2 linked regions of the Sus scrofa genome follow. The protein of the gene in region 1 purifies or fractionates together with the protein of each later gene. This does not show direct contact. Links are inferred from orthologs where the notes say so. Each region holds a gene or a part of one and is shown on either strand. Other genes may lie near its edges.

Region 1 (4,227 bases):
CAACTTGTTATGTGAAGTATTACAAAGAAATGTATATACATAAATAATTCCCACTTATAACTATAAAAAAGCTGTTCATAATTTCAGTAAAAATTTTTTGATTGTAAAGCCCAAATTCCACTTATTCCATCTTTAACTAAAATCTAATCCAAAGAAAAGAGAGAAGGAGGTGGGGGGGAGGGGCTGAGGGCAGTGGTGTAAATTCCATTTTTTTCTCCCATGTCTCAAGAGCAAGATTACTACTACTACCAATCATGTTTTTCCTAAGGTCTTCTTAAGAAACCAAAACAGTTTTATGCCAATGTCAAATATTAAATGAATATTCACAGGGTATTTTCAGAATGAATACACAAAAAGCATTGATATTGCTGTTGCTCTTCTTCCAAGTACTTTATAAGGAGCTTGTGTGTAGTGTGGTTGGGAGTAAACAAAGGACAAACATTAAGAACAGGTTAATAACAGCACCAAGAACCAGCCACTGCCCCAAACACTTTACCTGAGACTGCAGTAACTGAAGTAATTCCAATTATATTTTCTACCTCAAATCCTAAATACTACTTCCTTGGAATAAAAAGTGTCTTCTGGCACCTTCCCAATGACGATAAATTAATTTGCAAAGCTGTTAAGGTCAAAGACTCTAATCTCAGTATTCTGACTTCCAGGTACTACTTTTTTCAAGTTAAAGGCGATCTGTAGAGAAACACACAATACTACTTCCATACTTAACTAAAATTCCTGTTACAGCTGTCTGGCCATATCCCTTCAACTAGCAATTTCTCACAAGGAAGCACAGAAAGCAATACAGAAATAATTCTTTCAGTGGACTGGATAGAGCCACCCAGTAGGGGACAGACGGGTGATGAATTTCCACAAAAGCGGAAGTGACTGTGCACACCTAACACCTTTCTGTTCTGCCCAGGACTTCCCCATTCCCAATGTCTTCGCCCCAGGAAAACCTATCCATGATAGGCAATCTAGAAATACCAAGGAATTTTTTCTTCTTCCACTTATCAGTTGTACATAATCACAATAATCTGTGTTAACTATTTTATCAGATGGTAGGTAGTTGCAATTTGTGCCTCATCTACCTATACCTTAGGCAATGCACCTGGAATATAACAAGTATAAAATGCTGATTAGTTTTCAGAATGATCTAGCTTTCTGATTTTCAACTTTTTCACTGCCACCAAACAAAATTCACATATAGAGTAACGGGAAGCACTGGCTCATAATCTAGATCTCAAGCAAATCGATAGTTCTAACTGCAGTGTAAATAACGATGAAATACATTTGGAACCGCAGAGGGTTCCACGGACAGAGATAAACCTCAGAATTCTGGCTCTGGCTGGGCCCTGCGATGCAAGCCAACAGGAGGCAACAAACACAGCACATCTGGGGTTTCAGGAAGTTCTAAGGGTGCCGGATTAAAAGGCGGCACCGGGCCCCCTTGGCTTCGCGCAGTGCGGCCCGGAAGCTTCCCCAGGCTCAGACCCAGGCCGCTTCCCTCCTGCCCCGCCCCGGAGCAGGGACGAGCCCGGACTTGCTCCCATTGTCCGGAGCCGGTGGGGCGGGGCGGGCCGCTCACCTGGTGGGGCCGCGCGGGCCCGGGTCACGGGTTCGCGCCGCGTCTTCAGTCCGGCGCCGAGGCCATTTTGTCCGAGCGCCGGCCGCAGCCGCGGGGCCCTGGGTGGCCGCACAGGCCCAATCCCGCCGGCTCCGCGAAGGAGTCCGGCCCAGCCCGCGAGCAGCCGCCTCGCCCACCCGCCCGCAGGGTCTGGGGGCGCGCCCGCTGCAGTGACGCGCAACCCGCGCCCCACCCGGGCCACGTCCCCGCTCCCGGGCCCTGCGGCAGACAAAGGGGCCTTGGGGCGCCGCCGGGTGCCGGAGCGAGGTGGTGGTCACAAAGCGGCTCCCGTGCCACCGCGCAGCCCGGCGCCCCGGGCTTGGCCCTCAGCGCTCGCCCGCCAGTACCAGCGGGACCCGGGCGGAGCCAGGCTCCGAACAAAGGCGGCGGCACGGGGTACGGGTACTCACAGGAATATGTCTACTCATTGAAGATTGTGGCTTAATCATACAGCCGGTCCCGAGGCGGCGGCGACACAGGCGGCAGCGGTAGGGCAGGGGTGGCGGTGGTCCTCGCGGGCTAGCGGCGGCTTCGCTGGAGGCAGCGAGGGCAGTGGACTCGATCCTGCAGCGAGCGGCTCCGGGGAGAGCGCGCAGCCTCGCCGGCCCGCAGCCCAATGAGCCAATACGTGCGCCGAGGCGCCCTTGCGTCACAAGCCCTCTTATTTATAGCAAGAGTGACGTGAACGCCCAGGCGGCCAATCGCAGTCGGGCCTCAATCCTAGCGCCGACGAGCGGGGGCGGAGGCCCGCCTCGCCGACGTCACAGCGCGGCGGCGGCCGCCGGTGTGAACCGGTTGATGAATGGCGACCGGCTGCAATCAGAGCGCCTACCAGGCGGGGGTGGGAAGGGTCATTGGAGGGTCTGCAGGGGAAGCCCCGTACGGGGATGAGAGGCTGCTCTACGTAACTAAACCCCTGACGAGTGCACTCTCATCTCAGGAGGAGGCCCGAAGTTGGCCTCAACTAGAATGCAGTGCACTTCGGACTGGAGCGTAGTCTCAATCCCAGGCCTACTTCTTTTGCCGTAAGTCAGATCCCAGTCATTTTGACCAGCGGTTTGCCTGGGCACCTGCGCCCTGCGATCCCCAACGTGAAATCTTCCTGTGGCTCCACCTGCCCGCGACAACACCTGTGATGTTTCGGTCCTGCCCCCGGTAGCGCGAGCGGAGAGGACTTATTTCAGCAAACATTCGTGTATAGAAAACGGAGAGTGTCTTGTGATGCAGATAAAGCCCTCTGTTCCCCAGTCTTTTTTGGTCACGCCTTCATGCTACGCACGCGGGCAACTGTAGTTGGCTCAAGCGTGGCATTTCTAAATCACAGGCATCCTTTGTACTGCTGCTCACTTGATGTGTTGTCACAGATAATAAAAGGTTAGGCAGCGTTTTAAAAATTAAGAATCTTCGATTTTGCCAGACTGATGTGATTCTTTGCCTCAAAGCTATTGCTTTCCTTTTTGTTCATTTTCAGAACTGTTCCACTGTTCGTAATTTAGACTTTTAGGAAGTAAAGCCTTATCACAGTTGTTCTGTCTTGCACCCGGGCAATTCTGTCTTTTATGATCTGAAAACTCTTTCTCTTCTGGAAGGAGTAAACAGGAGTTTTACCTGCTTTGAAGAACTAGGTTTTCTACTCAGGCCTTTTGTTTGCTGTTTTCACTGAGCATAGATTGGAGAGGGCTTTAGGGATCAAATTGTTTTCTTGGTCAGTGTACTGCAGCATCTTAGGATTTATTAAAACGTCTACTTAAGAGACTGTGCTTGTGTAGACAACTTTTTAAAAATTTTTATTGGAGCATAGTTGATTTACAATGTGTTTCAGGTGTATAGCAAAGTGATTCAGTTATACCTATATCCCTTCTTTTCCCCACATAAATTATTACAGAATATTGAGTACAGTTCCCTGTGCTATACAGCAGGTCCTTGTCAGTTATCTGTTTTATAAAGAATATTGTGTATATGTTAATCCCAAACTCCTAATTTATCCCTCCTCCAACCTTTCTTCTCTGGTAACCATAAGTTTGTTTTAAAAGTCTGTGAATCTGTTTCGGTTTTGTAAATAAGTTCATTTATATCATTTTTTTTTTAGATTCCACATATAAATGATATTATGACATTTGTGATATTCAACTTTGTTTATAAGCATATACTCTGCAAACAAAGTGCTTTCAAAAAAATAAAGAACTGGATCAGGCAGGCTTTCACAGGAACAGAAGTCATCTTCATTTTAAAGAAATTGCTTGCCTAGGACACTTCTGAATCCATCTACATCAAGGAAGATTAAAGAGCTTGAGAAATATATGATGTCCCTTCACAAACTATAAACGAGTAAAAATGTAAATATTTAAAATCCTAAAAAAAATAGGAGTATTGAAAAAATTGTCCTAGGATGAGAGAAACCTTGTTAAGAAGATAAGGGAACTCAAGTCACAAAGGAAAAGTCAGATTTCATTATGTAAAAATTTAAAACTTTGATATGGAAAAGCTTGAGCAACATATACAATAGTGTAGGTAAAAAAATAAAAAAATAAAAATAAAAAAGGAGTTCCCGTTGTGGCTCAGTGGTTAACGAATCCAACTAGGAACCATGAAGTTGAGCGTTT
Region 2 (4,121 bases), on another chromosome or scaffold:
GAGATTTATCCTTTGAAGTCTTTCTCAATCTATGTCTTTGGAACTCTATGAAAAATAAGATTTTACATATGATTTTTTAAAATTAAATTAGAGGTGCCAAAAGTAGTATGCCAAATTATAGTTACTTTTACACAGACCTATGGTAAATTTACACAAAGAAAAATGAAAACATATGTTCACATGAAAACCTGCACACAAACATTTATGGCTGCTTTATTCATAATTGCCAAAACTGAAAATAACTCAAATGTTATTTAACTGGTAAATGGATAAACAAATCGTGATACCTCCATGTAATAGAATACTACCCAGTTGTTAAAAAGGAAAGACCTATTGATAACTACAACAGCATGGATGACTCTCAAATGCATAATGCTAAGAGAAGCTAGATCCAAAAAGCTACGCATTGTATTATTTCACTAATACAACATTCTGGAAAAAGAAAACTATAGGAGAGAACATATCAGTAGCTGCCAGCGGATAAAATGGCGGGGGGCGGGGAATTGACTACAAAGAGACAGTAAGAGGGAATATTGGAGGATGATGGCACTATTTTTTATTGTGATAGCTACATGAATATGTATTTGTCAAAACTCATAGAACAATACATCAAGAAGTGAATTTAACTATAGAGATATTTTAAATAAATGTATAAAAGTAAATTAATAGGCCTATGGTAAACTCAGATAACACAAAGAATTCAGTAAAAAGTCTCCCTCCTAGATCTTCATGGTGACAGAATAGTTCTGCATTTTGATTGCAGCAATGTTTATATAAATCTATACATGTGGTTAAAAAGTGAGATAAAACTATACACACACATTGTACCAATGTCAAATTCCTGCTTTTAGTATTGTGCTATGAACCCACTCCCCAGAGATGAACATTATTACAAATTTCTTGTGTATCCTCCTCATATTAAATCTAATATTTTATATATGTATATATGTAAATATACATTTATACTCATATACCTTTAATGCAAACAGTAGCATATTATACACATTCTTCTGTGTCTTAATATTTTTCAACCATTACTTTGAAGATAATTTTCATATCACAAACTCATGGATCCATATCATTATTTTTTCCTGCTGCATAGTATTTCACCACACAGTGGTATTGTTATTTCAAAAGTTTCTTATTAATGGGCATCTGGGTCTTAACCAATTTAACCTAAGTGTTTGGAAATTTTTGAAACATGAAAGGTCAGCTAGAGTTGAGACCAAACACAATGATTCAAGAATTGTCTCTAGAATATCTTTTGACCAGAAGGGGGAACGCAAGAGGCAGGAGGAGAGGCGAAAGGCTGGGAAATTTCCCCAGCCAATGGTGAAGCAGAGGGCCAGCAGGGAATTACTGCCGGGTAGGAGTTCGCTGAGGGGCGTCCTAGTGTTGGAGTAGGAGGCCATGCTCCAAGGCAAGCTTTCCCTAGGCGGCAACTCTGAGGTACTGAAGTGCGTCGGGGTTATGCGCGAAGCAGTGATGGGGTGACCATCTCCCGCTTCCCGCGGGGACCCACGGGCGGGGCAGGGTCTGAACCCCCTTCGCCTAGTGCTCACGCGGGCCGCAGGCGTACACGTGGTGACCTGCCTGGGGCAGGGTTCCAGGCTCCGGCTCCTCCTCCCTCCAGCTCTCGCTCGGCTTTCTGCAGTATCACGTGCAGCCGCGCCGAGTGCAGGATGGCGGCGGCCGCAGCAGCGGTGGGTTTCAGGCTCCGAGACTGCTGCAGCCAGGGCGCTGTACTCCTGCTCTTCTTCTCCCTGTCCCCTCGGCCCCCGGCCGCCGCCGCCTGGCTGCTGGGCCTGCGGCCCGAGGACACCGCTGGAGGCCGCGTGTCCCTGGAGGGGGGCACCCTGCGCGCCGCTGAAGGCACAAGCTTCCTTCTGCGCGTCTATTTCCAGCCAGGGCCCGCGGCGCCCGTGGCGCCGGTGCCCGCACCCACCCTTTCCCCGGGGGAGAACGGCACCGGTGACTGGGCACCGCGGCTGGTGTTTATCGAGGAGCCCCCGGGCGGGAGCGGCGTGGCCCCCAGCGCTGTCCCCACGCGCCCCCCGGGGCCGCAGCGCTGCCGCGAGCAGAGCGACTGGGCGTCGGACGTGGAGGTCCTGGGGCCCCTGCGCCCCGGTGGCGTGGCGGGCTCGGCTCTAGTCCAGGTGCGGGTGCGGGAGCTGCGCAAGGGCGAGGCAGAGCGAAGCGGCGCGGGCGGTGGCGGGAAGCTCTTCTCGCTGTGCGCCTGGGACGGGCGCGCTTGGCACCACCACGGCGCTGCCGGTGGCTTCCTGCTGCGCGTCCGCCCGCGGCTGTATGGCCCGGGCGGGGACCTTCTGCCCCCCGCGTGGCTGCGGGCGCTCGGAGCTCTCCTGCTGCTCGCCCTGTCTGCCCTGTTCAGCGGCCTGCGCTTGAGCCTGCTCTCGCTGGACCCGGTGGAGTTACGGGTGCTGCGGAACAGCGGCTCAGCCGCCGAGCAGGAACAGGCGCGCCGAGTGCAGGCCGTGCGCGGCAGGGGGACCCATCTGCTCTGCACCCTGCTCCTGGGCCAAGCCGGAGCCAATGCGGCCCTGGCGGGCTGGCTGTACGCCTCGCTGCCCCCGGGCGTCGGGGACGCCGGGGAAGATTATGGAGACGCGGGGATTCACTTCCCGTGGCTGCCGGCGCTGGTGTGCACAGGCGCTGTGTTCCTGGGCGCCGAGATTTGCCCCTACTCTGTGTGTTCGCGGCACGGACTGGCCATTGCCTCGCATAGCGTGTGCCTGACCCGGCTCCTGATGGCGGCCGCCTTCCCCGTGTGTTACCCGCTGGGCCGCCTGCTGGACTGGGCACTGCGCCAAGAGATCAGCACCTTCTACACGCGGGAGAAGCTGCTGGAGACGCTGAGGGCCGCGGACCCTTACAGCGACCTGGTAAAGGAAGAACTCAACATCATTCAAGGCGCCCTGGAGCTGCGCACCAAGGTGGTAGAGGAGGTGCTGACCCCCCTTGGGGACTGCTTCATGCTGCGTTCCGACGCAGTGCTGGATTTCGCCACTGTCTCCGAGATCCTGCGCAGCGGTTACACTCGCATCCCCGTGTACGAAGGCGACCAGCGGCACAACATTGTGGACATTCTGTTTGTCAAGGACTTGGCCTTCGTGGACCCCGACGACTGCACGCCGCTCCTCACCGTCACCCGCTTCTACAACCGGCCCCTGCACTGCGTCTTCAATGATACCCGGCTGGACACGGTGCTGGAGGAGTTTAAGAAGGGTGAGCATGTGGTGTATCTCCTCTCTCAACCCCTATCCCTTTGGAAATATTACCCTTTCATAAACATGTGAGGCTTCAGGTGTGCAAAGCAGCTTCTCCCCTGTGGTACCAAAAACTCAAGGAAGGCCCTGCCTCAAGGCTCCCTTCCTCTTTTCATTTCTCCCTCCTTTCTTTGAAGGCTCTTCCCCTTTACTTGGCTCTCAGGATGCACCGTATTCCTCATTCATTCCATTCCAGTATTTTTTCAGGGCCTACCAATTGCTAGGTGTTGTGCAGATTGGACTCAGGGTATAGCCCTTGGAGGGCACTGCATAGCTCCCCATCATAGGGGCAACCTTCCAGGATTCCCATAATAAGCAGCCTTGACTTTTTAAACTCCTCCCTGGGTGGGAAGTTTACCATTCCCAATTTCAGGGCAGACTAACTCCATTGCTGGACAGCTCCAGCTGCTGACAGCTCTTTCTTACAAGAAGCAGAAGTTTGTGTCTCCAGCGCCCCACTCGGGGCCCTAGTTCTGCCCTTTGAATCACACAGAGTAAGTCCCAGACACCTTAGACATTCTTCCCCCATATTGATCTTTCCATCAGCTATGCCTTGGACACCCATCAAGTGCCCTGGTTGGAGATTAAAAGTTGACTAAAACAGTGAGGTCCTTGTACTCCTAGGAACTGTGGTCCCATGACGTAAAATAGATTTAGACCTGAGGAAATATTCTGGTAAAGAGAACCACTAGAAAACATGCCTATCCAAGTGAATGGGGCTTCCTTCAGAGCGGTCACATCCCTTGCCTTTGATGTCATGTCTATAACATGTTTGGGTCTGCCTTTGGAAACTGTCTTTGGGGGTTGAGTAGAGTTCATTCCAGAAAAATCAGC

What was found. The genes of interacting proteins can lie anywhere in the genome.
Region 2: the proteins of PTP4A1 (region 1) and CNNM1 purify together in Homo sapiens (affinity purification with mass spectrometry; 4 studies listed by BioGRID and IntAct, with this or other methods). This does not show direct contact. The link is inferred for Sus scrofa from reciprocal best matches to the Homo sapiens genes PTP4A1 and CNNM1.

Annotation. Positions count from the first base shown.
Region 1 is NC_010443.5:45,168,504-45,172,730, reverse strand, and holds the start of PTP4A1 (protein tyrosine phosphatase type IVA 1), read right to left. Parts: upstream 2,819-4,227; 5' UTR 2,035-2,818; intron 1-2,034. UniProt on the Homo sapiens protein: Protein tyrosine phosphatase which stimulates progression from G1 into S phase during mitosis. May play a role in the development and maintenance of differentiating epithelial tissues.
Region 2 is NC_010456.5:110,538,057-110,542,177, forward strand, and holds the start of CNNM1 (metal transporter CNNM1), read left to right. Parts: upstream 1-1,317; 5' UTR 1,318-1,682; coding exon 1,683-3,246; intron 3,247-4,121. UniProt on the Homo sapiens protein: Probable metal transporter.